Notamacropus eugenii: one gene and its partners. The protein of the gene in region 2 interacts with the protein of the main gene of each other region in a biochemical or structural test. Links are inferred from orthologs where the notes say so. Each region holds a gene or a part of one and is shown on either strand. Other genes may lie near its edges. The genes, in order: STXBP5, STX1A, SNAP23 and SLC6A1.

Region 1 (7,506 bases), about 190 Mb from region 2:
GGCTGAGGGTTGGTAGGGGAATCCATGGCGAACAGTCTTGGGATGAGGAAGTGATGAAATCAACAGCAATAAAGGACAAACAAAAAAAGGGGGAGAAGGAGGATTCATTATCACATATTAGAAGAGGATATGAAATCTATTTAAAAAAAACAAAACACAAACATTACTGTCCAGAACACCTATTCATGTTCAGAAACAGAAGTTGTTCAAGACTGGCAAAAAAGCAACAATATGTGAAATTGTGATTTCAGTGTAATGCCTCAAATGTTGTCCCCTTGAACATCTTCCCTTTGGATATCTTCTTTTTGGAGTGGCAAAAAAAAATGCCTGTAATTTAAATCATGGGGCAACTTTTGCACATATAAAAGAAGACTGAAAACTTCTAATCAAATACTCAACTGCAAATGAAGACATTAAAGTTATTAAAGAGACATTGAAGAACAAGTTCCATCTTTCTTAGTCAAATCGAGTTCTATAATAGAAAAAAGAGACACTTTTTCTCTCTCCCAGGAGCCTGTTTTCTAAAAAGCACTACTACTCTATTTTAGGAAAATGTTTAAAATGTATTATCTCAAACCACTCCTTCAACAATGATGTTTCTATGTGATTATTAGTTTGCAACCTTAAACCCTAACAGGAGAATATTTATTTTAAACAAATTAATGGGTGAGACTAATGTGGAAAAGGCTTATTCATTTCCAACATTAAGTATCTCCCTTAGGCAAAGCACTGTGCTAGGTGCTAAGAATACAAAACACAGAAGAACACAATTCCCTCACTCCACCATCTAAATAGCTAATGGGGGGTGGGGAGACTTAGAGACAAATAAATATGATACTTAGAATGTGTTTAAGGCAAAGGATGAATCTACAGAAAAGACAAGAGAAGTATCCGCAGGAGTTTTTAAGGGGAAAGCCTGTTTTTCCAAAGCAAAATGAAAGTCATCATCAACAATTTTTCTCCTTAGACTATCTAGGTACTGGCTACCAAAATCTATGTACAAGTCTATTTTAAAGCTGTATTTAACTTTCTTCCATATTGTTTTAAAACTGCGTACTCTACTATATACAGAATGCCTTTTCTGGAGAAATAGTGTCAGGCATACTTGGGCTAAAACAAAGCAATCACCTTTTACTTCAACATTTTTCAAGGGAATGGCAGAACTCAACACAAGTACATCTAATTATGATGTTGCTTTTATTAAGTCCATAATAAAGACAGAGTAATAACGCTAAAGGTATATTTGTACATCCTCAAAATAGTCTGTCTATATGAAGGCATGAGTTTATTTCAGACGACAAAAAATGTCAATATGCAAATTAATTTGCATGTCTCATTGAACAAGGAACTAATCTGCTGCATCATCCTTCCTGAACTTAAGGACTTTGGCGTGTGATTATGACACCACTACAGGAAAGAGTCCCAATATTAACTTTTTACACCCACACCACCAAAAAGGATCCATAAATTCAAGTTAGAAGTCATCCGCAGAACATTTTAAAAAAGAAAATGCAAGGCACAGGTGAATGCCAAATTTGCTAATTAAGTCTGGCTGTATGTTAACCAATCTTCATTAGAAGTTATTTCCAAAGGAGGCCACAAGGGTTTTATGGTTATGCATTATGCTTTAAATACAAACACACATACACATAAAACCATTCCAGGTTATTGCAACTGCTGCTTCCAAATACCAACTTAATGGTCAGCATTATAAATGAGGCAATCTTGGAATCACTGTTGCATTAAGGAAGGGTCGGGAGAGTTCTCGGTAAAGAAGTTGGGGGAAATAGTCTCCTAAAAGGCTTTTAATCACAAAGTGTTTTCTAGGGTCCAATAGATATGGGAGGGAGGAGGGAGAGGGAATCCTCTAAGCGGGAGAGGAGGGGGGTGATTAGATAGAGAGGTGATTAGACAGAAAGATGAATAGAGAGATGGATAGATTAGTAGAGAAAAACAAATTTAGATATGGATAAGTAGACAGATGAACAATTAGATAAATTAAATACAGAGATAGATAGGTGGATAGACGGTTAGATAGAAAGATGCATAGATACATAAAGATACATAGACAGATACATAAAGACATGAGGGGGGGAGTGGTGGAAGAGATTGAGAGAATAAGGGAGTGACAGAAAGCGAGAGAGAAAAGGAAAGTGGGTGCAAGAGAGACCCAGAGAGAACGAGAGAAAAAGAAAAAGAGGGCTAGATCGAGAAAGAGAGAGTTAGTGCTAGAGAGGAGAGAGGAAGAGGAGAGAGGGCGAGGAGAAGAGAAGAAGAGGAGAGGGGGGAGGGGAGGGAAAGACAGACAAGGAAACTCTGGAGCGCGGCCGGAGAAGGGAGTCCTCGGGCTCCCCGCTGCGCAAGGCCAGACCCGTGCCCAAGCCTCCCCTTGGGGGCACTGCCCACACGCCGGGCCGGCCGGGCCGCCCCCTCGGGTCAGTCACCTTGCACAGCTGGAAGTGCTCGGACTGGAGCGTCTCCTGCACTTCGTTCTCCCGACTTCCAGGCGGCTGCTGCTGCTGCTGCTGCTGCTGCGAGGACGACGACAACGACGACGAGCCGGCTGTCAGGCCGTCCAGCACCTTCCTGATGTTGAATTTCTTCATGGTCTCCCCGGGCGCTCCCTTTTAAAGCCCAGCCTTCCTCCTCCTCCTCCTCCTCCTCCTCCTCCAGCGGCGGCCGCGGCCTCCCCCCGGCGCCTCCGCGGCCCCCAGCTAGAGGCTCAGAAGGCGGGCAGCGAGCGTCGTCCCCCGCGGACGTGGAGCGGGGGCGGGGGGAGGGCGAGCCCCGGCGGCAGTTTTGACAGAATGGTCAGAGACCAGAAAACGGTGGGAGAAGAGAAGGAGGGTATGCGGGGGACGCAGAGGAAGGAAGGAGGGGGTGAAACCCCGCGACGACGAGAAACCCCCGAGAGGGCAGCCCGGCCGCCGCGCCCAGACAGACACCCAGACGGACAGACGGAGGCCCGGCTCGCCCCTTCCAGCGGCTCCCCGACTGCTGTGTGTCGGCTGCCGGCGCCGCAGCCGCCGCCGTCTCCTTCTCCTCCCCTCCGCTGGGAGGCAGCAGCGGCAACGGCAGCAGCAGCGCCCGGGGACAGCCGAGCCCGCCCGACCCGCCCGCAGGCTCGCCCCACCAGCCCCTTCACCTAGTGGCGGAGCGGCTCCCGACAGCGCCGCCGCCCGTCGCCATCCCCTCGGCCGCCGCGGCCGCTGCCGGAGCAGCCGCCGCCGAGTCCATGACGCTTCCCCCGCCTGCCCGCCTCAGCTCCCCTCCGCCGGCCCCCCGCGGCTCGCGCTCAGCAGCCGACTCCGGCAGCCGCCGCAGCTGCGCCGCCCCCTCCTCGCCCCGCCCTCCGGGCCCCCGCCCCCGCAGCGTCGCCGGCAGTTCCTTCTCCCTCTCGGAGGGTGCGGGTGTCAGGGTCAGAGTCTGCCTCCCACCCGGGGCCGCTCGCAGCGGCGCTGCCTTTCCGACCCGACCCGACTCGAATCGAATCGCCAATCCTGACACTTCCTTCCTCCTCACTGCTCGCTCAACTGGCTGGCCCCACAGACGGGCAAGCACCTCCCGTCCCCGCCTGGCCGCCTTCCTGCTTCTCCTAGCCCCGGCCAGCTACGCGACTCTCCGCACTGGGCACCAACGCCCGGAGGAGGAGCAGTCACCACAGCTAACTGCGGCCGCCGCGGCAGCAGCTGCTGGGCGGCCGCGGAGCGGAGCTGCCGAGCATGCGCAGCCCCCACCGCCTGCCCCGCCCCCTCAGAGAGCTCCCTTACCTTATCTTGGGCCAAACCCCAGACAATGGCCAGAGTTCTCCTTCCTCCAGTCCCCAGCGGCCCTCTCCTGCGTCCCGCAGCACCAAGCCTTTGACTAGGGGGGGTCTTCGCTGAGAGAGGCTTTATTTTATATTTGTGTCTGTTAGATGCAGACAGCTTGTCGGATTTTCCTAATTCTATTTTGGGGCTCCACTTTAATGTTGCGTAAAGAAGGGACAACGGAATCTCCCCAAAGGAGAAAGAATAGCTATCTCCTTGTGTCTTCGTACGTGTAGAATGCAGGGATGGCCTGGAAAGGACACTTCAAATTGAAGTAGCCCACCCCCGCTAATCTTCCAGGACCCCAAGCAAGGAGAGCTGTGGTTCCCAAGAAGGGCTTCCATCCCCAAGCTTGTAGAATCCTAGGCCTAGACTCTGGAAAGGATCGTAGGGGCCATCTAGCTCAACCCCTTACTTTTGCGAGTGAAAAAACTGAGTGCCCGGGAAGCCAAAGTACAGAGGGGTGCAGGTAGGACTGAGGATTCCGCAGTAAATCGGCTTCTCATCTTGCTTGTTCCGGTCACTATACAGTGGTAAACCAGTTCAGTAATTCCTTTCAGACGTTTGTTTATTAAGAAGACGGCAGACTCCCACTCCAATAGTTTTTTTTTTTTAAATAGAATCCTTAAAATCCATCCTGAACTTCTTTTGGTAGCCATGCTGGGTTGTGGAGCTCTTCCTTTTAACTTTTTCTTTTACATTTCCTTCTCATCCATCTCCATTCTGTATGGTGAGGTAGGGAGGGGAGTATGGATGAAGGTGGAGGAAGAAGGTATGCGGTTCTGATTGAAACCGTTGCCCCATTTCCCACTATCTCAGTGGTCCCTCAGCCCTTCAGAAACACAAGCCACGAGAATTTTAATTTAGACGGTTGTGGATTAATTGGGGCTGTTATCTCCGTTATTACATTCAATAGAAAGGTGGAAGGAAGGACAAATATTGAATTAGAAAGGAGAACGAAGGGGAGATTTACAGAAATGCATGTCCCTCTGCTCCTGGCATTCAGAATTATTACTGCCACTACTGATCATAAGGTGATCAAATGTAGTCAAGTATATGAAGATTTGGGGGTTATTTGGAGTTTTGGTAGGGGAAAGTGGAGGCTGTGAGCCAAAAGTGCTTAGAATATCTAAAAGACAACTAAGGAAAGGAATAGAAACAAATTACCTGCCCCTTCTGCCCTATAACAATTTTTTTCCTCTCACTAACTCGGAATAACTGTTCAGGATTCATTGACATGGCCTGCTGGATTTGGCCCCAGAGATTTCTGGGAAATGTAGTTCATTCATATTGGGGGGGGGCAAGATATTCTGTAAGTAGGATCTAGGGAATTGTTTTGTTTCTTAATGTTTATTGAACATGTACAGTATTCCTAAAATACAGATAACAATTATGTGGACAGACTAGCCACTGGACCTATGATTCCATAGAGAATTCGAGAATGAAGAAGGTATATCTGTATCTTCTCTGCAAGAGAATTAACTAAAGCAGAGGTGGCAAACATGGGTCAATGGAAACCAAATTAAAACGTAATTCAGAAATATATAATCAAAATACAATAAAACGGAGATAGCAGTACATTTCAAAACCAAGTCAATGTTTAGCCCCTAAAGATCCTTTTGTACAAATTACTATTTGTTTCTATTTGAGTTTCACACTACTGACCTAAAGTATTGAGAAGAAAAGTGACCTGCAGAAGTCACACAGCTAGGATGTGACAAGGGGTGAGACTTGGTTCCATCTATTCCTGACTCCTACTATGCTATGATGCTTCTGTTAAACAGCATGTTTTCCATATGTTGTCTCAATTGTGCCCATGATGTCCAAAAGTCAAGAATAGTCAAGAAAGAGAACAGAATCGAGCCAGAAGGGACCTTGGAGCTCATTGACTATGTCTACAAATTCTAAAATTGTTTATAAATGTTAGCTACTATTAATTCATTTTTACAAATGAAACTAGGGTATAAGAGAATTAAGTGACCTGTCCAACGTCACAAAATTAAGAAAGTAGCAGAGGCAGATTTAAATGTAACTCCTACCTCCAAATCCAGTTCTCTCTCCACTATATCATTATGCTTAGGTGGAAAGGGGCACAGGATGGACAATATTTTGGGGTGAAGGAATAGAGGAAGGAAGGGATCAGTCCAGACTATGGAGCCCTTCATATAGCTAAGGAAGCAGCATAAAAAAAAAGGAGAAATGGAAAGGTATAAAAGGCAAACTGTCTGCTTCATAATTCCCTAGGGTTAGCTCAAGTAAGAGAAAATAATGAATTTAATAGATTATTCCTCCCACCTCAAATAAAATGTTAATATATCCCATATTCATTTTTGTCACTTGACATACTTAAGTTACCACCTCACTTTTATTAAGGATTACAGAGCTGAAAGAATTCTCAGGATGTGAACATTTTATAATACAACGCCATTTCTCCAATCAGAATATACCTAATCTAACCAAGAGAGGTTTAACTTATCTTATAGTTTTCCAATGGAGATTTCAAAATCCTTATCTCTATATCAATATAGTAGCTTTGAATGTTAAGAAATATATGTGTGCGTGTGTGCATGTCTGTGTGTGTGTGTGTGTGTATCTCCACATCAAAGTCACTGAGTTGGGATCCAAATCAAACAGGAGTGGGCTGGATTTATATTTGGGAAATTGAATAATGCTTTCAGTGATCTCAGGCTTCTCAAAGCTGCAAAGACTTATCTTTTTAATACAGGTATTCTCTTGGTAGCAACATGAAACAGTGGATAAAACCTTGGACTTGGAGTTAGGAAGAGAGATGTAGGGTTCAAGTACCACTCCCAACATTTTTAATACTATCTATGAGACCAATGGCAAGTTATTTAATTTCTCTGAGCCTCAGGCAACTGTTTAAAACTATAAATTATACTCAGGATATAAGGTTGTGAATCAAAGAATACTACTGTCTCAAAACTATCACTTTCTAGTCACCCAAAGATCACTGGTAAGATATGGGGGGGGGGGCAGGAATGGTATACAAAAGCTGTAGCATTTTACTAGTAATTTATTCTGAGTGGCATGAGAGAAGATCAAGGACATACATGACCACAAAAAGTAGTGTTGTAAGATTGAGAGGTGACAAGCAGCATAACTACAATATCCATGAAATATCTTTTTTAAAATAAGACCCCCCCCAAAATACTTTTGTATAAAACTCTTTAAAATGAGCCCTGAAATACCCCAGGGTAAATAATGTACTCTTTTTTTTTTCTGCCCACCCATTCCCTCTTGCCTGTTCTTTATGTTACTTCTATGCTCATTTTTATACTAATCTTTTCAGACCTGAAAATTCTAATATCACTTATGAGTTTGTGTAGTTTTTTTGTCTTTACCCCTACATATGTGAATTTTAAAATTATGACCCATCAGTCATATTTAAATAGTCAACTCCATGAAAGTTGAAATACTTTGACATTCTTGTGAGATTTGCTATTCTTGCATCTCTGTAAGTCACTGTAAATTGTGCGCATATATCCTATATTTGTTATCTGCCTGACTTTTTTTGGACTGTTAAAATTAAAAAATTAAAATGATTATGCAAATATGAAAAAATAAGACCTCCAGGGAGTTGAGTTGATTCACTCTGGAATATTACAGGAATCATATAGAAGACAGGGATGAGTTGCCATCTGTACCAGTGGAAGAAGCATACATGCCAATGAAATCA
Region 2 (7,319 bases):
CAAGTCCAGATGACCACTTGACAGGTATATGGTAGAAAGGATTCTTGTTCAATCCAAACTGAAATACATGACTCCTTCCAGCTTTGAGATGGCATGATTCCACGACTAGGAGAGTGATACCATTGATAGACAAGGAACTCAAGTGAGTGAATGAGCATTTATTAAGCACTTATCATGTGCCAGGCTAAAGAACAGAAATACAATGATAAAAATGAGACAGTCCTTGTCTTTAAAAAACATATTCTAGTAGAAGGAAACAACCCACAGAAGGCATTGGTGACCAGGAAAGGAAGCTTTGACATAAAGAGTGACAGAGAGGATGTGTGGATTGACATGCCATTTCCAGAAGCAGTGATCATGTTGATTTAATTAAGTGCCAAAAGCAAAAGGCAGAAAACTGAGGTGAAGGATGATGTATCTGGATGGCATGGTCTAGTCTGGGGTCTGGTCAGGTCAAGTGGAAAAAACAGAAGACTTAAGTTTTGCTTTTGTTTGAATGCAGTGGGAATGAAAAGAGATGACACATTCAACTTTAGATACCTTGAATTTATGGCAATTATAAGTATCCTGTAGATAACAATACCCCAGAGTAATTGGGCTAACTCCAGAATTGTGAAAAGATGGATGCAGATTTGCCTGTGCCCTCAGTTGCTTGATGGAACAAAGTTTAAAATAGCTTCAGCTTCAGGGCAGAGGGGAGAAGTGGTGGGGTATGAGTACCAGGGACTGGGAAAGGGTAGGCATTAGTGCTTAGGGGTGCAGAACTACTGTCCTTTTCCAGGCTCGGGAATCCCTGGGCTCAGCTCCAGGTTCCCTACAAGGGCCCAAAAGTGAGTGTGGCCAGCTTGCCAGGTGCTTCCCCCACATTGCTGCAAATAACACACCACAGGGAGTTTCTCTCTCAGCACTGGATAACCTTTAGAAGCAGTTTTGTTCCTTTCTCAAAAGATGTTGGTGAACAGAGTACAGACTGGGAAACACATAGACAGAGGGAGTCAAAGATCATGCCTGAAGGGCAGACACTCACAGAGGGTTTTGACATCATCAAAGAGAAGTTCTGGGGAGAACTCACTGCCCCTGTTTCTACCTCCTCCAAGAAACAGAGACCACCTCCTCCAGGAAGTCTTCCTAATTGTACTTGTCACAAACAGGCCACTTTGGAGGACAGCCAGTCCAAGTCACATCTGAAAAGGAGTCCCCTCCACCAAAATACAGGACAAACTGACAGCCAACTTCCTTGAAAATCTCCAGTTTTCATCTCTACCTCCCAGCACTAACCTCTCCCTTCCTCAAACCTTCCCCAGGCAGTCTATTCCACTTTGGGATAAAGTAGTTCTCATTTTTAGGAAGTTCTTCATAACATCAAACCCAAATCTGCCTTTATGCCATCTCCGTCCATTGTTCCTGGTTCCGCCTTCTGGGACAGAACAAAACAAGGCCTACACATGGTAGCCCTTCAAATGATGGGAAGCCGTTATCACACCTCCCCTAAAACTTCTCTTTTACAGACTGTCCCAGTCCCTTCATGTGGCCATGCTGGACACCCTCCTCTGGCCAGTTCCTGCTTTCAAGATCCTTCCTCAAATCTAGCACCTAGAACTGAACACAACACTCCAGACAGCACTTGCCAAGGTAGGAGCACAATGGAACTCTCACCTCTCTGGACATTAGGCCTCTCCTAATGCATCGTTTCCCCAAAATTAAGATAGTATTAGTTTGTATGGCTATCCTATGACCCTGTTAACTAATATTAAGCAGGCTACCTACTAAAACCCTCAGGACCTTTTCAAATAAACAGCCATCTAGACTAGACTAGACTAGACTAGACTAGCCTCCTCCATGTTGAACCTGGAAAACTGATCTTTTGAACCCAAATAGATTTTTTTTTTCATTTATCCCTATTGATTTCATCTCCAATTCCAGCCAGTGGTCTAGTCTCTTCAGACCTTTTTGAGGCCAGGCTCTGTCATTCATTTTGCTAGCTACCCCTCCCAATTGGGTGTTATCCCTAAGTCTGATTAACATACCATCTGTGCCTTTATTCAAGTGAAAATGTTGAATAGCAGAAAATCCAGCAGGGATCCTAGAGGTACTCCACTAGAGACTTTCCTCCAATATGAGATCAATCATAATATGCATTAATTGAATTAATAAGAGTTAATAATAGCTCACATTTAGGAGGTATATTAGGATTTGCAGAACATATTACATGTGCTATCTCACTTGATCCTCATAACAGTGCTGTGAGGAAGCTGTTCTTATTATATCCATTTTTACAGATGAGGAAATTGAGGCTGAAATGTTAGATGACTTGCCCAGAGTTAAACTGGGCAGCCAGGTAGCACAGTGGATAGAGTGCTGAGATTGAAGTCAGGAAGATGAGTTCAAATTTGGCCTCAGACACTGACTAACTATGTGACCCTGGGTAAGTCACTTAACCCTGTCTGACTCAGTTTCTTCTTCTGTAAAATGAGCTGGAGAATGGAAATGGCAGACCTCTCCAGGATCTTTGCCAAGAGAAAAAACAAAACCCTGATGGTGTCATGAAATGACTGAACCACTACAATAACTACACAGCTGGTACGTGTCTGAGGAAGAATTTGAACCCATCCAGGTCTTCATGCCTCCAGACTCAACTCTCTATCCACCGCTCTTTGGACTGGCCACTCAATAAATCCACCTGAATTTCCTATCAGTTAGGCCACATCTAGTCCACAAGGGCATCATGAAAAACCTACATTTCTGTTCCCTCCAATATTGTACACACATTTTGTATAGAATTTTAATCTGTCTAGTTCTAAAGTCTGTCTGTCATTATTGTCTACTCCCATTAAATGGGAGGATCTCCTGAGTAGGGGCCATGTCTTCCTCTGACCAGGAGATTTCACACAGGTACTTTGCGCCCCCTTCTCTCTGTGTACCCTAACAATGCTCAACAGGGAGCTGGGAGGGTAGGGTGGAGAAGACAGAATGACGTGCTGAATTGTTTTTAATGTGCATCTCTACTTAAACAAATGATGAGAAATCTTTGTGTGCCTCATGCCAGGGTTTAGAGGGAGGACAAGCAAGAGTGGGCACAGACCCAAAGCTGCCATCAGCCTTGGCCTCTGGGAGGAAAGCCAGGACCAGACACATGTAGGGATACAGGAAGAGGCAGGGAGCCAAAGCAACACCTTGTCTGCCCAGGGCGAGGGAGGAGACTTGGACAGGGAATAAATGTCATTGGGTCTGCAAAGACTAGGACCAGAGAACAAAGCTAAAAGACTAGAGCCCAACCCACTGGGGAGGGTAAGACTTGAATGAGGAGCACGCCCTGAAAATAGATGGTCTTGACTCCATCCCTTAAGGAGGTTGAGTAGGGACGGGGAAAGTGCTTTTAAAATCACATTTGTTCCACAGTGCCTTAAGTAAAGTACATTTTTCTAGAAATATTAACTGACTGATGGTCAGAGCCCACAATGACTCCCTGGCAGTTCCAAAATGTTCCCAGCACCTGAGGCAGCTTCACCACTGGGATAGGGCCTCTAGACACGTTGCAAATCCAGGACCAGAGTAGCCTGGGGAAGGAAACCTTGTTTCGGAGGGAGGAATGATAAAATGTAAGCCTCAGAAAGGACCTGTAGAGTTCATTGAGAAGACCACTTCATTTTACAGGTAGGGAAACTGAGGCTGGGAGAAGTCCAAGTAATTTGCTCAACGTCATGTAGATTCCAGATCACTGTGAGCCCCAGTTGTCATTCTATGAGAAAGTAGCCCTCTGAACATCTCATCAGTCCAGGACCCTGCCCAATAAAAAGAGGAGGGTGTACCGCATCAAGACTGGGGCCAGGTAGTAGGAAAGGAGGGAAGAGGTGGGGTCCATGGGAGGGGAAGAATTAAAACAGGGGGGAAAGTACAGCAGAGGTCCCCGGGGTGAGGATGGGCAGGGCGAGATAGTCCCAATGGAAGGGGGCTGGGCAGAGAGACTGGACAAGGTAGACTGAACAGGAGATGGGGCGGGGTCGCGACCGGTGAAATAACAGGGTAGGACCACGGCTGAAGCCCCCCGGGCAGGGGCCCAGCGAAGAGAGCACGGGGGCCGGGATTCCTACCTAGGAGCGGAGCCGCTGTAGGAGGGGGCGTGGGCGGGCCCGAGCTCTGGGCTGCTCCCGGGAGGGGCGGGGCCAGGGCGGGGTGCTCGGGGCCTGGGTCCCCGAGAGAGGGTCCCGGGGGCCGGGGCGGGGCCGGGGGAGGTGCTGCGCATCTGCAGGGCCGCCGTCGCGCATGCGAACGAAGCCCAGACGGCTGGAGCTGCCGCCACCGCTGCCTCCACTGCTGCCGCCCTTACTGCCCAAGCTGCCGCCTCCACTCCCGGGAGCATGAAGGACCGAACCCAGGAGCTCCGCACGGTAAGATCGCTCCCCGCGCCCGGATCTCCGCGCCCAGACGGGGCGGAGCAGAGAAGCCCAGACGCCAGGGCTTCGCCCCGGGACACGCCCAGGGCGGGAGCTCTGAGGGCGGGCGCGCCCCCCTACCTTTCCCCGGAGGGGTGGGGGAGTCCCAGGCCAACCCCCATCCCCTGCTGACCTTCCCGAGACTTTGGGCCTCGCTCCCCATTTGCCCTGGGACTGGGAGTGACTGCCTCAACCTCCCTAGAGGCCCAGAGAAACTTTTCTTTTTCCCTTTTATTTTGGGGAGGGAGGATTCTGGGGGTGATACCTAGGGCTTTAGCTCCTAGGCTCCCATGATACCTGGTCTTTTTAGACTCCCTAAAGAGGTGGTGTCTCCGCTGAAATCCTCCAGCCTTCCTCCTCCCTCACTTCCCTGTCGAGTTCAGCTCCCGGAGCTGTCCGAGGTGCTGCCTTCTGAGCCTGGGGGGAAGGGGGCGGGAGTGGGAGAAGGAAGGACCAGACTGAGCTCTTCGGGCCTGGGGGAGGGCGGACAAGATTTATGCGCCCAACCCAGGGCGAGGTCCGGAAATGGGGCTGTCTGGAGAAACAGACTGTCCCTGGATCGAGGAGGCGGGGGCCACCTGGGCTCTCGCATCGGCTTTGGTGTCTTTTGTCATTAGAAAAAAAGAGAAAAAAACCACGGGTGGCTGCAGGCCCCCTCCTTGCAGACACCTTGCTTCTGTTCTCTTAGGCTTGGATTTCACTTGGGCTGAGACACTTGTGGCTGCTGGTTCCCTCCTCCTCACATCCTCTGCTTGCTTTCTGTGAATTGGATTCTCGCCCCCATGCAGTAAAGGGGGACACGTACCTTCCCGTCTTCCCCCTTGGCCACCTCCCACCACTTTGTGCGGGGGCTCCTAGGACCTCCCCCTACTTCTGATTTAGCATTTATATATGGCCTATCCACCCCACCACCCCCTAATTGTCTCCAGTCTCCACGACCTCTTTTCTTCTGAAGTAAAGCCTGGGGTCTTGAGGCTCCTCTTGAGCAGGCCCCATCCTGAGGGGATGGAGGGAAGAGGGAGGGGAAATTCCCTCACTGCTGTCATTAATAGGGGACAGGGAGGACTACCTGACCAATCTTTCCTCCCCAGTTTCCACACACTAAGCCCTTTCATGCCAACATTAGCCTTATTTCAACATCCCTGGACAAATTCATTTATATTTTTTCCAAATTCAATCTGATGTTCAAGCTGTGTTTCTGGGGCTCCAAGGTTTCCCAGTACATTTATCCAAGTCCTGGTAGTGGCATCTTGCCCTACTCCAAGGCATTCTGCTCCCTCTAAACCAGGAGAGGATGGAAAAGAAAGCTTTGTAAATTGGGAAATTTTCCAGAGTGTAAGCCTGTTGTCTTTAGCTTCAACTCCTTAATTCAATTTGGCAAATATTTATGGCATGCCTACTGTGTGCCAGGCCCTAGACCAGGTACTGAGGAAAATAAAAGGATGGATGACTAAGTCAGAGCTTCTGCCTTCAGAGTAACCCTAAATGATCAAAGCTCTGGAGTAGAGGGAGGTACTCACCTAAACCACATTTGAGGAGTTACCACCCCATGCCACCAACTCCCTGTTGTCCAGAGGTGGTGAATTGTACCCCATGTTTTCCCCACCCCCAGCTTCTTGGCCTCTTTGTTAATTCCTTTGAATATTAGTAACCATCCCTCTTTTTTCTGAGAGAAAGAGAGGGAGAGAGAGTGAAAGAGAGAGAGAGAGAGAGAGAGAGGAGAGAAATGGATATACTGAGGGTACAAAGAAATGTGGAAAGGAATGTCTGTTCACATTGTGTTAAATGACTGCCTGAAAACGGGGGCCAAACGGAGCCAGGGCTTCTCTGAATTTGGGACTAGCCCTCAGGGGAGGGAATTCTAGCAAGAAATCCAACTTCAGCTCCAACCCTTTCAACCAAATCCAGAATAATGAAACTTCTCTGTTCAGCTGTTTCTGGCAGTTAGAACTCTGTGCTGAAATATGCTATGGGAACCATCATGTGGATATGCTACTCCTGATCTCCAAGCCCTTGAAGTCATAATTAGGACAGGAAGCCTTCCCCCTTGATTAAGAGTAGTCTCATGTCCAGGAAACCAGCCTACAAGGCATTATTGTGGGGTTAGCCTCAGCTGTTCCTCCCCTACCACCATCCCAGGAGAAAGCTAACAAATCAGTTTCCTCTGGGGCATGTGCCCTGTGGGGAACTCTTCCTTGTGCTCCATAATTGGTTTCTAGCTCTATGGCCCCCATCCCCTTTCTTCCAGAGGCTGGGAATCAAGAACCAAGTTTGAGATATTCAGGTTTCAGTGTTCAAAGAGATTTTATTTGTGCTGATTTGGGAGTCTCCCCCTCCTCCACTCCACCTCCAAGTGTCTCTCTGCTTAATTCCAATTCAGGCCAGAAGGAAGCTCATGGCTAGAAAATTGTATTCTCAACTCTGAAAGACAAGGATTTAGGGACAAGTGGGCCCTGGAGCTCTTTATCCTTCATCTTGACATTGGCTTTGTGACCACTTTCTCACAGAATGAGACTTGGCCCTGTTCGAGTCCTATCCTGAAGGTAAAGCGAGAGAAAAAAAGCCCCCTTATCTGCCCTGTGAACCCAATCTATAGAATAAACTCTAGTCTGGGCCACAGACTCACCATTAACCGTGGGAATAGATTGACCCCCGAACACTGGCCACAGACCTACCTGCTGCCCCCCAAATCTCACAACCCTCCCCGTTGATCATAGGTGAGATTGGGCAAGAGTGTGGATCTTTTCGTGCAGCCTAACACTGCTGCTGAAGAAACAATTTAGGATTCCCATTTGGCTGATGAAGAGGAAGAGGGGGAGTCTGATCAGGAGCCACAGGAAGTTCTCACTTGTCCATGTTTTTATTTTCTTGCTGTGTAATCCTTGG
Region 3 (7,231 bases), on a different chromosome or scaffold from region 2:
GATAAACACCTTCTTTGTCCGTTTTACAGAATGTGGAGCCCAACTTAACATTAAACTCTCATCAAAACAGGAGGGCCACAGAATGACTTTTCTCTGTACAAACTAGAGATCTTTTTCTCTATTTTTGTGGGACCTTATCAGGGGATATCATTCTGCTAAATTCTGAAATCTTTCATGACCTCTTAAATTCTTTCCCCAAAACAAACTAACAAAAACCTAGGGCTTAAGGTGTAGTGTAAAATACAGTCAAATTTGGATGACAAGAGTGTTTTTTTGAAATCTTGCTTTGGAAGGCCAATGTAATCTCAGGGGATTCATTGAGAGGCATTAGTCTTCAAGACTGGGGATATGGTAGTTCCATTGTACTCTGTCTTGGTCAGACAGCATTTGAAATTGGGCACCATATTTTAGGAAAGATAAATTAATATGAGGCCATAAGTATGGAGAAGAGCCTCCAGTGTATGAAAGGTCTGGGAAACTATTAGTCAGAAGAAGATAACATTTAGAAATGACCTGATAGTTATTCATTTCAAGGATATCTAGAAGGCTGTTATATAGAAGAGAGATTATATTTGTTCCACTTGATGCCACAGGGAAGAACTAGAGGCAATAGGTGAATTGCAAAGAGTCAAATTTAGACTTGAAATGAGGAAAAATTTCCTAATAATTAGATATTTCACCAAAAGGTGAAAGGGTTATATCATTGGCTCACATTGAGGCACACAAACAAAGTCTGGATGACCACATCTTAAGTATGTTGTTGAGGGGGTTTTGGTTCAAAAACTGGTTGGACCTGGTGAACGGTGAATTAGGAAATGAAGCAATTTATAGTCTTAGAGAAGTCCCTGGGCAGTAATTTAGAGGCTGAGTTACTTGCCCGAGACTAGTATGTGTCAAGAAGCAGGATCTGAATCTAGGATTTTCTAGTTTCAAGGGTGGCCTTGCTTTGTAGGCATCAAGACGCTTGCCAAATTAAATAATGTTAAAATTTAATGAGTTCTCTTTCTCAGGGATGGTTGTAGTTTCTATTTTTAGTCACTATTACTTTGCCCTTAGGTTACAAATATATTTATATATTTGATTCTAATAAGAAAATTTTAATTCTCAGACTATTCTCAAAGTAAAGAAAAAACTAAAAAAGATTTTTAAAAATTTCTAAAAGGTCACCTGTAGGAAAAGAATCCTACAATTAACTTACATGTATATGTGACTTAAAATGTAGATCCCATCCTATAGGATATAAAGTGTAAATATATAAACACAGCATCTAGCCCACAGTGTATTCTCAAATATTAAAGCAATTGTATTCATATTTATAATTTTGAAATGATAAGATTTTTCTCCTTAGTGTTCCTGTGGCAAATCAGTCAACAAGCATTTCTGAAGCACTGTGTTAAGATCTGGGGATACAAAGAAAGGCAAATACTGGTACCTGCCTTCAAGGAGCTGACCATCTAATGGGGAAATAACATTAAAACAACTACATAAAAGATAAAATAAATAGATTATATATACATATACACACAGAGAATGATTGGAAAATAATCTCAGAGGGAAGTGTGTATGTAGGCAAAAGGCCCACCTAGAAAGACCTCTTCAGTGGGTGAAATTTGAGCTGAGATTTGAAGGAAAGTAGGAGAAGATAAGAAGGGAGAATATTACAAAGATAGGGAAGTCAGCTACTGAAAAGGCACAATCCAGAGATGGAGAGTCCTGTTTGATGAACAGTGGTCAGTATTGCTGGATCATATAGTATATGAAAGGGAAAGTGTAAGAACATTACAAAGGGAGAAAGAGATCATATTATGAAGGCCTCTTAAAGGAAAACATGAAATTTTATATTTTGAGGTAATGGAGAGTCACTGGAGTTTATTTGCTTATTTTGAGTGGGTGTTGTGTTTGAAATGGTCAGACTTGCACTTCATTAGGAAAATCACTTTGACATTTCAGTGGAGGATGGATTAGAGCCAATTTAATTCAATAAACATTTATTAAGCACCTACTATGTTCCAGGCACTGTGCTAAATTCTGGGGATGCAAAAAGCAGCAAAAGACAGTGACTACTCTAAAGGAGCTTACAATATAATGTAGGAGACATGCAAACAAATATATACAAAGCAAGCTATGAACAGATAAATAGGAAGAAATCGATGGAGGGAAAGCATTGGAATTAAAGAGGGGGTTTAGGGAAGGCTTCCTGTGAGAGGCAGGATTTTTGTTCATTGTTTGCCCTTGGTTCTTGAAGAAGACACACCTAAGGAAGGTGATGTCATGACTTGCAAGTGAATTGGATTTAAGTGAGAGAGGGCTGTGCAAAGTCACCAAAAAAATTGCCTTTTTGAGCTAAAGTCTTTCCCAGGTCTCAGTTTTACTGAGGCAATGTCCATTCAATGATTAAAGCTGGGTAAGAAATGAAGAAAAGAACAGCTTTTTCAACCTAGTCAAAAAATTACATATATATTTTTTATGTGCGTGTGCACGCGCGCACACACACACACACACAATCAGTTTAGAAATTAGGAAGCACATCTGGGAGGGAACTGAAGGTTAGTTGATCTAGGCCCTTCCCCAAAATGGAGGAAGCAGGAGGAGCTACATATTAGAAAGATACTGGTATGGTAGAGGGATATTCTAGGGTGAGGAAGCCTCAGTTGCTGAGAAAGGATTCAAGGTGAGATTTTAGTCAGGCCATGGTTTTTAAGTCTATTAAGTTAGAATCACAGCCAGGAGGAGAATAAAAGTTGATTTAAAAAAAAAAAACAACAGATAAATACTGCAATTTTTTTTAAAAATATCTTTGGGAAACAGACCTAATAATGGTATTGCTGAGTCAAAGGTATGCTGTTTCATAGTCCTTTGTTCCTAGTTCCAAATTACTCTCCAGAATGGTTGGATCAGTTCACAACTCCACCAACAGAGCTATTTAGTGTCCCAATTTTCCCACATCCCCATCTAATGTGTCATTTTCCTTTTCTGTCATATTAGTTTAGATTTGTTTTAATTTACATTTTTCTAATCAATAGTGATTTAGAGCATTTTTTTTATATGAATACCAATAGCTTTGTTTTCTTCCTCTGAAAACTGCCTGTTCATATCCTTTGGCCATTTATCATTTGGGGAATGCTTTGTATTCTTATAAACTTGACTTAGTTCTCTATGTATTTGAGAAATGAGTTCTTTATCAGAGAAAATTGCTCTAAAAATTTTTTTACTGTTATGATTACTATGTATTTCCTTCTATTCGTTTCCCCCATTTACCCTCTCTCTCTCTCCTTTCACTTTACCCACCCTCAAGTGTTTTACTTCTGACCACTGCCTCCCTCAATCCAATCTCCCTTCTATCAGCACCCCCTCTTCTTGTCTTATCTCCTTCCCTTCTACTACTCTGTAGGATAAGATAGATTTTTTATACCCCACTGGGTATGTATACTATTCCCCAGGTGAGAGTTTTGTTTTGTTTATTTTTCTGGGTGAGGGACACGTGGGCATGTTTCTAGGCAAAGAGCCAGTAAAGATGAAATTGAAAATAAGTGAGAGAGTGAGGATGAGAAAGGGGGCAGTCTGTTGAAGGAGATAGGATGGAATGGGATCACTTGAACAAGTGGAGAGGTTAGTCTTGGTAAGGAGTAACACCAAAGAGACTAGAGGCAGGGAGATAACCAGAAAACAATAGTCCAAGCATGAAGTGATAAATATGTAGCAGGGTGGGGTGGGAAATTGTGGAAATTGCTTTGCATATTACATTATTAATCGGATCACTTGTTATATATTATGCTGTATCACAGCATATATATGACAACATTATTTATCATATTGTAAAATACGTAATGTGTTTACTTAGAATCCTAAGAGCATTGATTCGCAGCTAGAAGAGTCCTCAGAGGTCACCTAGCTCAAGGTCACCTCACTTTACAATTCTGTATACAAGTTGCAACATAATTTCCTTCACTTCAGGGACTGGGTTGTTTTTGTTTTATCTTCAATCTCTTCAGCACAATGTCTGGCTCGCTAATTAAATACTTGTCGAATTGTTACCAAACCTAGATTTGTGGTTTTTTAGATCTCAGTTGCACCTACATCTGGTTTCACCAAACGCTGGGGAAAAAAGAAACAGAGCTACAGTAGCATGGGAATCCCACCTCTTCCAAAACAACCCAGAACTAATTGGCCAACTGCGAAGCAAGAAGGGTTAAACCTCCCTCTCCTGTACGCTGATTGGCTTGTAGCTCCAGGGGCGTGTTCTGGGCCGTATTGGGCGAAATGCGCAGGCGCCTGCTGGGGCCAGGGTAGGGGAATGTGGGGATTTCTGAGTACGCATGCGTCAGAGAGACCCAGCCCTGGTTCTTATCTTTGGCCAAGTCCGGGTTGTGGAGGATTGGTAGGGGAAGGACTGCGAAGTCTCAGGGTGAGTTGTGAGGGCCCCGGGGCCGGGCCGGGACCGGGGCAGCTGCCGGGCGAGGTTCTGGGCGAGGAGGAGCTGCGCGTGACTTCCAAAAAAATGGTGGAGAGGCGGCTGAGCGAAGAAAAATGAAGGGGGAGAGGCGCCGGCGCGGAGGGGGAGGGGGAAGAAAGACACGGGGGGAGGGGGAGGATACGGGGGGAGGGGAAGACACGGGGGGGAGGGGGAGGGCAGGGAAGTAGCGGGGGCGGGGAGCGTCTGTCCGTCCTCGTCTGTGCCTGGCCTGGGAGGAGGGTGTGACGGTGGGAACCCCTCTAGTGGGTAAGGGAAGCAGGAAAGGGGGTGTGTGTGTGGTGGGCATGGGGATGGGATATGTGTGTGCCCACCTTGTAGTGCAAGGATGCGCTCCTGGGCAGCGAGCGTGTGTAAGTGTGTGTGTATGGGTATGTGTGTGTATACACACACAGTGTGAAGATACACTCATGGGCAGTAGTAGTGTGCCCCCTTCTTAAGTGTGTGTGTATGGGTATGTGTGTGTATACACACACAGTGTGAAGATACACTCATGGGCAGTAGTAGTGTGCCCCCTTCTTAAGTGTGTGTGTATGGGTATGTGTGTGTATACACACACAGTGTGAAGATACACTCACAGGCAGTGAGTGTATGTGTGTATATGTAGTTAAGTGTGTGTATATGTAGGTATGTGTATGTGTGTACACACAGTGTGAAGATACACTCATGGGCAGTAGTAGTGTGCCCCCTTCTTAAGTGTGTGTATATGTAGGTATGTGTGTGTATACACAAACAGTGTGAAGATACACTCATAGGCAATAGTATATATCGATATTAAGAACCACACTTGTTCAGATTAAGAGAGAGTCCAGAGAAACCCGAGAATGCTCCTTAGAAGACTGATAGCTTTGATGCCATCTTACAAAGAGAGAAGAGTGGGAGATAGCTTCCTAAATTCAGGGATGGGGGGTGGGATGAGGATGTTTAAAGCTTCCCTTCCCTCTTCTTGCTCCTTGGTCCTTCCCTTCAAGGCCATTAGTTACTGTAACTTTTAAATAGACAAGTTGGAAAGGGAAGGGTGGTTCTTAGAGAAAGTTGGAAGAAAACACAAGTTGGTCCATAGAGAAGTAGTCGTTTTCCCTCTGCCCCTCATCTCATCAAGATGTAATTAATGACTGGGGGAGGGGAAGGATGTAGTTACTGAGCAGTGGGGAGCCATGTGATGAATGCACTTTGAGCTTTTTAGAAATAAGGTATTGCAAGTATTAACAGAGACATCATTCTGTGTATCTAAAACTGATCTTTAGCCTCTATGGTGAGGCCCATCCAGTATGACGTGGTTACTGTCACACTAGGAGTAAAAATAGGATGTACCATTCTGGTCCATACTAGAAAATGCCTAATGAATTTTAAATCTGGGTATCATTATCCATAGTTTCCTGGGAAGTCTTAGTATTGCAATTATATTTTATGACCTAATATATTAATTTAAAATTTTCTCTAGTCCTGTCACTACCTAAGCCAAAAATTTGCCTAAGGTGTACAGTGTTTATGAAATATTCTTCATCATTAAGTACTGTCAAAGCATATGGGATTACATATGCTTTATAATCCTTATTTTATATAAAAAAGCAGCAAATATTAGGACAAATGTAGTTGCCCCTTTTCCAAGCACCAGAACATAATTAAAGTAATCATAAATTACAGCCCTGTAGCGTATGCATCTATCAGCTCTAGTAGTTCTCTTTAAGCAGTTTGCGACATGTGGTCACTTGCTGGTTCCTATGATTGTCATTCTTGTCAGTGTACTTTTGGATTCAAAGTGACTTTTGTTATTTTACTTCCTGATAATATTGTACCACTTCTTCTTCCCTGACCCTGGTATGCAGCTTTACATAAACATTTGTGGGACTTTCCGCTTTTTGTAGATAACTACTGTTACAGCATATTAATGTTCTTGTTTCTTTCATTTCAGTTACCTTAAGAACAATAACACCCCTCCTATTTAACCAAGAAGAAAAAAAAGGCCTGGGCAGCCAAAATGATGTGACAGATCCCATGTGCTCAAATTGACTCCCTTAAGGACCAAACATCAACAGAAGTAGCTATTCTGTTCAGCACAGTTTTAATGGATTGCTATTTGGTTTCCCAGGTCATAGTAAATTAGAGGGGGAAAGGTGGAGTTCATACCTAAGGGATAGTATTGGAAGGAAAAGTATACTGGAACATGCAAGATAAGGCATGTAATAGTATATGGGGCCATTTAGTATAGGGTTAAATAGCCCTATATACTTCAGTGGTACTGAGGACATCAGTATTTATTATTGTAGAATATAATAATTTATAATTTAATCCTGAATCATAAAGATTAAATTATTTTTCATGTCCTTTGCTTAAGAAGGCTGTAACTTGTATAAAATAGTTTCCAAAAAGTTTTCATCATAAAGTTGATTTAAAAAAATATTGACACTTCAACAGCATTTATCAAGCATCTGCTTTGTGCAAAACACAGAAATACAGAGATGAAAATGACACTGTTCCTGCCCTCAAGAAGTTTACATTCTGAGGGGAATAGGATATGACATAAATGCAGATAAATATAGTTCAAGGTAGAGAATTATTGAGGGCAAAGAAAGATGCAGGCAAAATACTCTAGCATTACTGGAGGAGGAATAGAAAACTACTTTTAAGCCAGAAGAACAAGGAAGGCTATACCTGAATTGTACCTGTAAGCAAGAAAATTCTAAAAAGTGGAGGTGAGGAAGGCTTGTATACTAGGAATAGAAAATGACCTGGCTAAATGCACGGAGAGAGGAGATG
Region 4 (8,014 bases), on a different chromosome or scaffold from region 2:
GGGAGGGAAACAGCAACAGTTACTATTGATAAACACTCTAAAGCTAGGAGGGTCCAGAAGAGCCCTTGGACAGGGGCCCATTGGCGTCCGAGTTTCAGAGTGCTGTAGGTTTAAAGGGAAAGGAAAGGAAAGGGAAAGGAAAGGAAAGGAAAGGAAAGGAAAGGAAAGGAAAGGAAAGGAAAGGAAAGGAAAGGAAAGGAAAGGAAAGGAAAGGAAAGGAAAGGGAAGGGAAGGGAAGGGAAGGGAAGGAAGGGAAGGGAAGGGAAGGGAAGGGAAGGGAAGGGAAGGGAAGGAAAGGAAAGGAAGGAAAGGAAAGGAAAGGAAAGGAAAGGAAAGGAAAGGAAAGGAAAGGAAAGGAAAGGAAAGGAAAGGAAAGGAAAGGAAAGGAAAGGAAAGGAAAAGGAAACAGAGCCAGAAGGCAATTAGGAAAGAGCTAGAAGATAGGGATCATTTGAAGATAAGGTAGAATGGGGGAGATTATCAATAGAACAATAGCCTAGAGGAGACAGAAAGGGATAGAATCCAGACTACAAGTATAGGGGTTAGTCTTGGCAAAGACAGGGTCACCTTCTTCCCTGAGGCTCAAGCAAGCCATAGGTTGGTGAAGATAGAGACATTATGGTGCAGTGACAGATATACAGAAAGTGCTCACTAAATGCTTGGTACCTGACTGACTGAATGGTTAAGGGAAATGAGAGAATTTGCCATAGTTGAGTTCAATTTTTTTTCACTAAAGAAGATTAGATCCTTTACTAAATGATAGGAATGGGGCTGGCATTGGGTCTATAAGAAAAAAAGATTTGGCAGAATCCCTGAGAGGTGTTTGATAAAGAATCGATCAGATTCAGCTAAAGTATTTGCCACACAGCAATAAAGATCCAGTGGTATTAAGCGAACATGGTTTTAGAATGAATGTGTTGCAGTTGTATGATTTCCTCCAGCAGTGTTTAGCATCATGGGAGTAGGAGTGGAGAAGGTAGATGGAGTTAAAAGACCCAATATGAAGTTGAAAAGTTGTAAGGCATGAATGACAGGGTGAAAAAACAAGGGACATATATGTAAAGTAAAACTGAATTGGTTAATAATGCCGTCAAGACTACAAAAGGGAGGAAAATGAAACCAGACCAATGTTGATGGACCAGAACCCCAAGAACCTAAAGTCATAGGAATGATGAAGAAGTTTCAGAGAGAGAGAAAGAAGTGCAGCAGTTTAGACTCAGAGAAGGGAATTTCAGGGTTCAAGATTGTGACCACTCCCACGGGAGGCTGAACACAGAGGAGAAGGTTAGAGACCTGGGAGGTCAGAGTGTTTGAAGGGTCATCAGAATCAATAACTAAATGGACAAAGATGAGGGTTCAGTTTGGGAGAAGACTGTAAGACAAGTATAATACAAGAAGAGAAAGAGGGAGGTGGAAGCTAGTAGGTGACAGTAACAATAGTCTAAGCAGAGTTTCCTGATGGATAGAATGAACCAGAATGAACCCGAATGAAGGAGAAATTGCTGAGAGATGGTATCAAGGAGGTTGTAGAAGTAGAATACTCTAGTGGTCCACTAGAGTGAGGGAAGCCAGCTTCTACTGGCATGAGAGAAATGCCCAAGTGATTGGCAAGGGGTAAGGTCTTCTCGAGAAAGTCAGGTTTTTGTGAACACTGGATGGAAATAGTGGAAAAGAAGGAGATTCAAGATGAAGGAAAGTTTCTTAATTATAAAGAAGATGACTCAGAAGTCATAGTAGAAGGGGAAAGCAAAAGAGAATAGGGACTGAGAATGTTGGGGCTACTAAATAGGAATGAGGGCTTGGGTAGAGGTCACAGAGGAAAAGAAGTTTTTTGCTTTGTTTTACTTTGTTTGCCTTAAAAGCTAGTGAGTCTGAATTGTAAGGATTAGAGGGATAGTGCCTGGGAATTTGTTAGATCAGAAGAAACAATTATCAGAGTGTTAGGAGTAAGAGGAGGGATCAAGGGACACGGTGGCCTCTAACATTGTGCAGTGTGGGGCAGGGGCAACTGATATTGCTAAAGCAGAAGCCAACATGTCATTCTCCTCCTCTGGAAACTTCGATGGCTCCCAACTGCCTCTGTTAAAATATAAAACTCTTCTGTTGGACATTTAAAGCCCTTCACAATCTGGCCTAGTCTTTCTTTCCAGGGTAATAATACACATCACCCATCATAAGTCAATACAAGTATTTGCTAGAAGAGTTGTTTTTCTTTGGGGGAAAGGATGTTTGTTCACTGAAAAAATGTAATCAATACTAGCTAACATTTATATAGTTCTTACTATGTTCTAAGCATTTGGTAAATATTATCTCATTTGATCCTCACAACAACTTTGAAAGATGAGTGCTATTACTGTCCCAAACTCCAGTTGAGGAAACTGAGACACATAGCAGATGACTTGACTTGGCCAAGGTCACACAACTAGTAAGTGTCTGAGGCTGGATTTAAACTCGGGTCTTCTTGACTCCAGGATCAATGTTATATCTACTGCACCACCTAGCTGCCAATTAAAAAATAAAGTTGAAATGATCTTGTTGATCTATACTCTATATATGATGCACTATCTCCCTCTTCCTCTCCATTTGCACAGGTTCTCCCCCATACCTGGAATATTCTCCATCCTCACCTCTTCCTCTTGCAAGACCTAATCCTTGTCAAGGTTCAGCTCAAATGGCACCTTTGGAATGAGTCCTTTCCTGGTTGCCCTCCCTAGTTATTTTCTATTTATTTTGTATTGCTTGGTATTTAATTATCTGAGTGTCTGCTATATCTATGACCTCCCCAACCCGTAAGACGTAAGCTCCTTGAGGATAGGGATTGTTTGTATCCCCAGAGCCTAAGATACTGCCTGGCACACAGTAATCTCCAAAGAAATGTTTGTTGTTTGCTTGGTTTCTTGTATGGTATTGAGCCAGTTTACTGCCTCTTTCTTGGAAGCTTCCTATGTAAGGCATGGTAGGAGGTGGTTGGATCAGACAATCTCCAAGATCCCTTGGAGCTCATATGGGAGACTGTTGATCTGGGAAATTTAAAAGTTATTGGGATCCTTTAGTCAGACCCAGCAATAGGTGAGGAAGACAGATGCTTGGGGAGTGGGGGGAGGAGGTACTCAAAATGAGATGCATAAAAATTAATACTTTTAATAAAAGTGCATATTTTATTGCCAGAAAAGCCTGTTCTCCAAAGTACCTCTGTGTTTATTTTGTGGTGACACCTGTGTTGTAGCACAAGGTCAAAGTATCTGATGGACAGATACAAACATAGGAGGCCAAGTTTTCCAACCTTGCTTAGTGCTTCAGAAGAACACTTGAAGGGGGAGTGGTAGAATGAGAAAGTGGTCAAGAAATAAGAGGGGTGGGTTATTCTTCCAAGAGTCTAGCACTACTAAAAAGTTGGTGGGACTGGGCAATAAACAGAACGTGGTGAAGATGAGACACAGATTTGCTTTGGGTAGATTAAGCATCAAGGGCTCCAAAAGCAGAATGCTCACAAAGCAGCCCCTTCTGCTGACTCATCTGTAATTTGTAATGCAAAATGGCTTTTTGGGGTGCCCATTACATTGACCCTGTTCTGTGAAATTACTTCTCTCTGCCTTAGTCCTGTCCATTTGGTTCAGGGTGATGGGAAACCTAGGAGAACAATCTTCAGTCTGTACAATTTGCAGGCTAGAAGGGACCAAGAGACTCATTCAGGTGCTTGCCTCTAGGCAGTGCTGCTGTTAAAGCATTCCAGGAGAGTACAAGTTAGCTCTCTCTCTCTCTCTCTCTCTCTCTCTCTCTCTCTCTCTCTCTCTCTCTCTCTCTCTCTCAATAAATAAATAAATAAACATCTGTCTTGGAGAGTGGTCTTTAGAAGGGATGGGAATCTGAGACCTTGAACAGAATCATTGGGGTCCCTGGAACAAGAGGAGCCCCCCAGCCTGAGACATTTGTCTGACACAAATACGTGTACATGCACCACTTCCTCGAGTCCTAGCACTTTATTATTTCTACCTCTGGAGACAAGAGAGAAAGGCTACCTCTCTGGGTCCCGCAGGACTCCCTCTCCCCAACTCCGATACACGATACACGTTAGACTATGCTTCTCTTCATTTCTCTCACCACCACTACCCCTTGCTTCCACCTCCAGGTATTTTTGGCTATTCAAATATAAAGCCCCTGACACCAGCTTCAGGGAAATAAAGAGCCCAGGTATTTGGACATCTCCTGGCGAGATCCCTAGGCAAGGTGAAGGTAAGGGAGGCCAAAGATTTGAGTAAGAGGGAAGAGGAGAGGGAATAAGAAAGAGGGAAACACAGAAACGGGAGGGAAGAGGAGGGGGAAAGAAAGATAGAAGAGGTAATGGTGGGAGGGAAGCGAAAAGGAAGAAAAAGGAGAAAGGTAGAGGAGAATAGCGAATCGAAAAGGGAATATCGGATAGAAAATGGAAGGGGAGTAGAGATGAAGAGAGAGGAAAATTACAGGTGTAAGAGGAAGAGGAGGGAAAGGGAACGGGGGGAACAGCGAAGAAACGAGAGAGAAAAGGATCGGGAGAAATGAAAAAGGAAGAGGGAGAAAATTATAGAAGAAAGAGAAAGGAAAAGGGATAAAAAAGAGAAGTGTGGGAAAAAGAAATGGGAAGAGAGAGAGAAGTCGATAGAAAAGCAGCAAAGAAAGAGAAAGAACGATGGGAGAACAGAGGGACGAGCGGATGGAGACAGCGAGGAGAGAGAGGAAGAAGGAAGACAGAGAGAGAGAAAGATATGGAGAGAAAGAGAGAGATGGGGGGGGAGGGAGAAGAGAAGAGAAAAGGAAGAAAAGGGGAGGAAGGAAAGGAGGGAGGCCGAGAGGGAGAGAGGAAGGGAGCGCTCTACTGAGGAACACTGCGCTGGAGGGGAGGGGAGGAGAGAAAGGAGAAAAGGGGTTGGCCGACTACGGCCCAGCCCCGCCCCCCGTTGGCCTCTCTGGGCAGTGAGCCTCAGCTCTAGCGCCCCTCCTCCTGCTAGCTGCGCGGCTTGGGAGAGAGAGAGAGAGAGAGAGAGAGAGAGCGACCGAGCGAAAGAGTGAGGAGAAGAGTGAAGCAGGAGCGAATGATTAGAACGGTGCTGCCTGGCTCTGGGCAGCGCGGCGCAGCTCAGCAGAGCGGAGCGGACAGAACGAAGCCCTAATTGGCCCATGCGCCTCCTCCAGCTGTCCCAGGAACGCAGTCCCGGCCCGGCCAGGTCCCATCCCGGCCCCGGCCCTGGTCCCGGCCGCAGGTAGGGAGGCTGGCTGTCTAGTTTGGGGTTCTATGCTCCAGGAGGGGGTACGGGGGAACGTAGGCGTGACTGCCCGGGACTCAGCTCTGTCCTGCCGGGAGAGTGTGGGCAGCCTCGCTCTGGAGCTGAACCTTACGTTTTCCTATTCCAAAGAACTCGATTGGGGGGAGGGGGGGTGTCCTCCAAGGGTGGGGGGGAAGAAGTGCAAGAATTAGGGGTAAGAAACAGGGAAAAGCTTCGAGGGGTTTAGGGAGACTGCGTTGGGAGACTGGAACTGGGAAGGTCTGCCCCGCTGCCTATTTTCCCCCACCAACCTTCTAAATTGAACAGGGGTCCTTCCTAGAGAATTTGGGAAGAATGTCGTGCAACACCCCCCGGATCCCCCGGCAACTGGAAGAGAGAGACTGGATCTCTTCGAGGCTTCTGATTCCATTTTCCACCCTACCAAGGATTTGGGGGCTAACTGCTTCCCCTTCCCAACCCAAGTCCCAACTCTGTTGGAGCTGGGCTCTGTACGATTTCCTCCAAAGCCTTCCCTCCCAAATCTGCCCTCCCACTATCCCCGTGATCCGACCCTTCCCTTACAGCACACCCCCTCCCCCCCATCCCAGTTATTCTTCCGGGGACTAGTAGCCTGGAGGTCGTCTGGAATCTAAGACTCTGAACCCCTACTCGGGTTGGCTAAGCAAAAGAAGCCCAGCTTTCTCTCTGGGGTCCTTGCAAACGGAGGTTCGAAGGTCTTTCCGATGGGTTAGCTTTGTGTTACAGATGCTCTGGAGTACAGCTGTTGTATTACCTGTGGGCTACTGTTGGGTCATCTCCGTGTGTAACAGTTGCGTCTGACTTGTATCACACGAGTAGTCTTGAGGTATTTCAAATGAGTTCTAGGTTTGGGTCAAGGAAGGAGATGTACAAAGTCCAAAAGCATATTTTTCCTCAGAAACCTTTTTCTTGTATGACCGCTGCCTCCGCCGCCACCACCTCCCGCCCCCCTCTCTGTCTTTGCACCCCTGTCAAGCCCAAAGGGGAATTGCAAGGACTGGCTTTTGGTCTGGCGACATTTTCATTAGAAATGAAAACTGGTTTTTTGGTTTATTTTCCTCCGCTACAAAGTCCTGCCCCATAAGGAGATCAACCTTTTACTAGTCTTGTTCTCTGGTTAAGCTTCCAAACCAGAAAGCTCCGAGTCTTTTGTCTTGAAGAATTCCAGAGCAGCAAATCTTCGTAAGTGAACGTCTGAATCGCAGGTTCTTGTTCTGAATCTCCCTCTTGGTCTGTCACTGCTTTTTCGAAATGAAGGAGGTTGGGGGAGAGAAGAGATCCAAATGTATATACTAATTATGTATTGAAAACATTTTCTTTTGTTGCTAACTTTTTCAAAAATAAATGTTCAAGCATTTGACGGAGAACGCCCCCCCCCCAAGGCCACAGGGGAAAGGGGGGACCTCAGACCCACAAAAGAGGTCAGCCGAGAATTTTAGGTAAATGATCCCTTGGGGAGTCTACAAAGAACAAGAACAATTTTCTTATTCTGGGCAATGTAGGGGGCGGGGGGGGGAAGGGAACCTTTGCTGCCTCAGGCCATGGGAGCCAAGAAAATGGTCAATTTCCATCCCGTTTTTCCCTAAGCAGATGTGAATCTGACCATCCTGCATTATCCAGATTTGGGGCAGTAAGATGACCTTGACCTTAGAAGTCGAAGATTGGGGCATGTGTATTGGCATTTCTAGTAACAAACACGGAAAAATGGTTGAGGCGATAGTCATGTAAAAACCGTGAGAGGAAAACAAAGGGAGGTTGTGAGCCAAGAGCTGAATTCATGGTGGGCGCGAGGACAAACGGCAGGTCCAGTGGCAGTGGTGTGGACAAAGAATACAGGGCAACTTGTTTCTGAGAGGAACAGCAGCCCAGGCTGCGGCTTCGCAGGTGAATTGAAATAAGACCCTGCTAAGCAGCCCCAAGAAGTAGGGGAGAGAAAAGAACTTCTCCCCACCCCAGAGGAGTAGATCGTACAATTTTGAGAGCTTTGCCTGCTCCCTGCTGGACAGATAGTTAGCAAGATGCAAGGACTTCCCCAAATCTGGATGAAAAAAAATGCTGTTTCCCAAGCATCAGGGAGTGCTTGCTAGATTCTGATAGGGGGCAATGGAAAAAAAAACCTAGTCTACAAAGGGAAACAGGAGAATCCAACAATAAATGTATCAAGGTAATGTAAATAGCAATTCCCCTGGGGGTCCTCCAACTCTACCTCCAGGGAAACATACCATGCAATGCCAGGCACAGTGAGTGCTCAGTCATTGTCTGACAATAAGATGTATGAGACTGTAAGTCTCTTATTGATGTTTGTAACAAAACTCAATTCTCCAAATATCTCCTCAAAATGAGTCTAAAATCAGATTACTATTGATAACTACCTCTGATGGTATCCTATATCAGCAATTTCATGGTGTAAAATGAAGGGAATGTGCTTTCAGAGGGTTTTGTTAGGAGTGGAAAGAGCACTAGAATAGGAACTGGACGACCTGATCTGCTACTCACTAGAGGTGTGACCTTGAACAAGTCAGTATTCATCTCTGAACCATCCCTTTATAATAAGGAACTTGCACCAGATGATTTCCAAGGTCTCTTCTAATCCTGAAGTCCATTCTTATGCATTAAAGCAACATTCTTGGATGCTGTTTATAAAGATCTCATAAATGTCTCAAGTTCAACATAAAATCTAGTCTAGAACAAAGGTCAGCCTATCTATTTGGCATTGCATAAAGAAGGGTTCTTCT

The links.
Region 1: the proteins of STX1A (region 2) and STXBP5 form a complex in vitro, tested with the Homo sapiens proteins (2 studies listed by BioGRID). The link is inferred for Notamacropus eugenii from reciprocal best matches to the Homo sapiens genes STX1A and STXBP5.
Region 3: the proteins of STX1A (region 2) and SNAP23 form a complex in vitro, tested with the Homo sapiens proteins (3 studies listed by BioGRID). The link is inferred for Notamacropus eugenii from reciprocal best matches to the Homo sapiens genes STX1A and SNAP23.
Region 4: the proteins of STX1A (region 2) and SLC6A1 form a complex in vitro, tested with the Homo sapiens proteins (2 studies listed by BioGRID). The link is inferred for Notamacropus eugenii from reciprocal best matches to the Homo sapiens genes STX1A and SLC6A1.

What each region holds. Positions count from the first base shown.
Region 1 is NC_092873.1:238,975,109-238,982,614, reverse strand, and holds the start of STXBP5 (syntaxin-binding protein 5), read right to left. Parts: upstream 3,003-7,506; 5' UTR 2,607-3,002; coding exon 2,445-2,606; intron 37-2,444; coding exon 1-36. UniProt on the Homo sapiens protein: Plays a regulatory role in calcium-dependent exocytosis and neurotransmitter release. Inhibits membrane fusion between transport vesicles and the plasma membrane.
Region 2 is NC_092873.1:50,187,706-50,195,024, forward strand, and holds the start of STX1A (syntaxin-1A), read left to right. Parts: upstream 1-4,310; 5' UTR 4,311-4,358; coding exon 4,359-4,388; intron 4,389-7,319. UniProt on the Homo sapiens protein: Plays an essential role in hormone and neurotransmitter calcium-dependent exocytosis and endocytosis.
Region 3 is NC_092878.1:28,891,741-28,898,971, forward strand, and holds the start of SNAP23 (synaptosomal-associated protein 23), read left to right. Parts: upstream 1-4,213; 5' UTR 4,214-4,405; intron 4,406-7,231. UniProt on the Homo sapiens protein: Essential component of the high affinity receptor for the general membrane fusion machinery and an important regulator of transport vesicle docking and fusion.
Region 4 is NC_092874.1:434,075,383-434,083,396, reverse strand, and holds the start of SLC6A1 (sodium- and chloride-dependent GABA transporter 1), read left to right. Parts: upstream 1-5,006; 5' UTR 5,007-5,237; intron 5,238-8,014. UniProt on the Homo sapiens protein: Mediates transport of gamma-aminobutyric acid (GABA) together with sodium and chloride and is responsible for the reuptake of GABA from the synapse. The translocation of GABA, however, may also occur in the reverse direction leading to the release of GABA.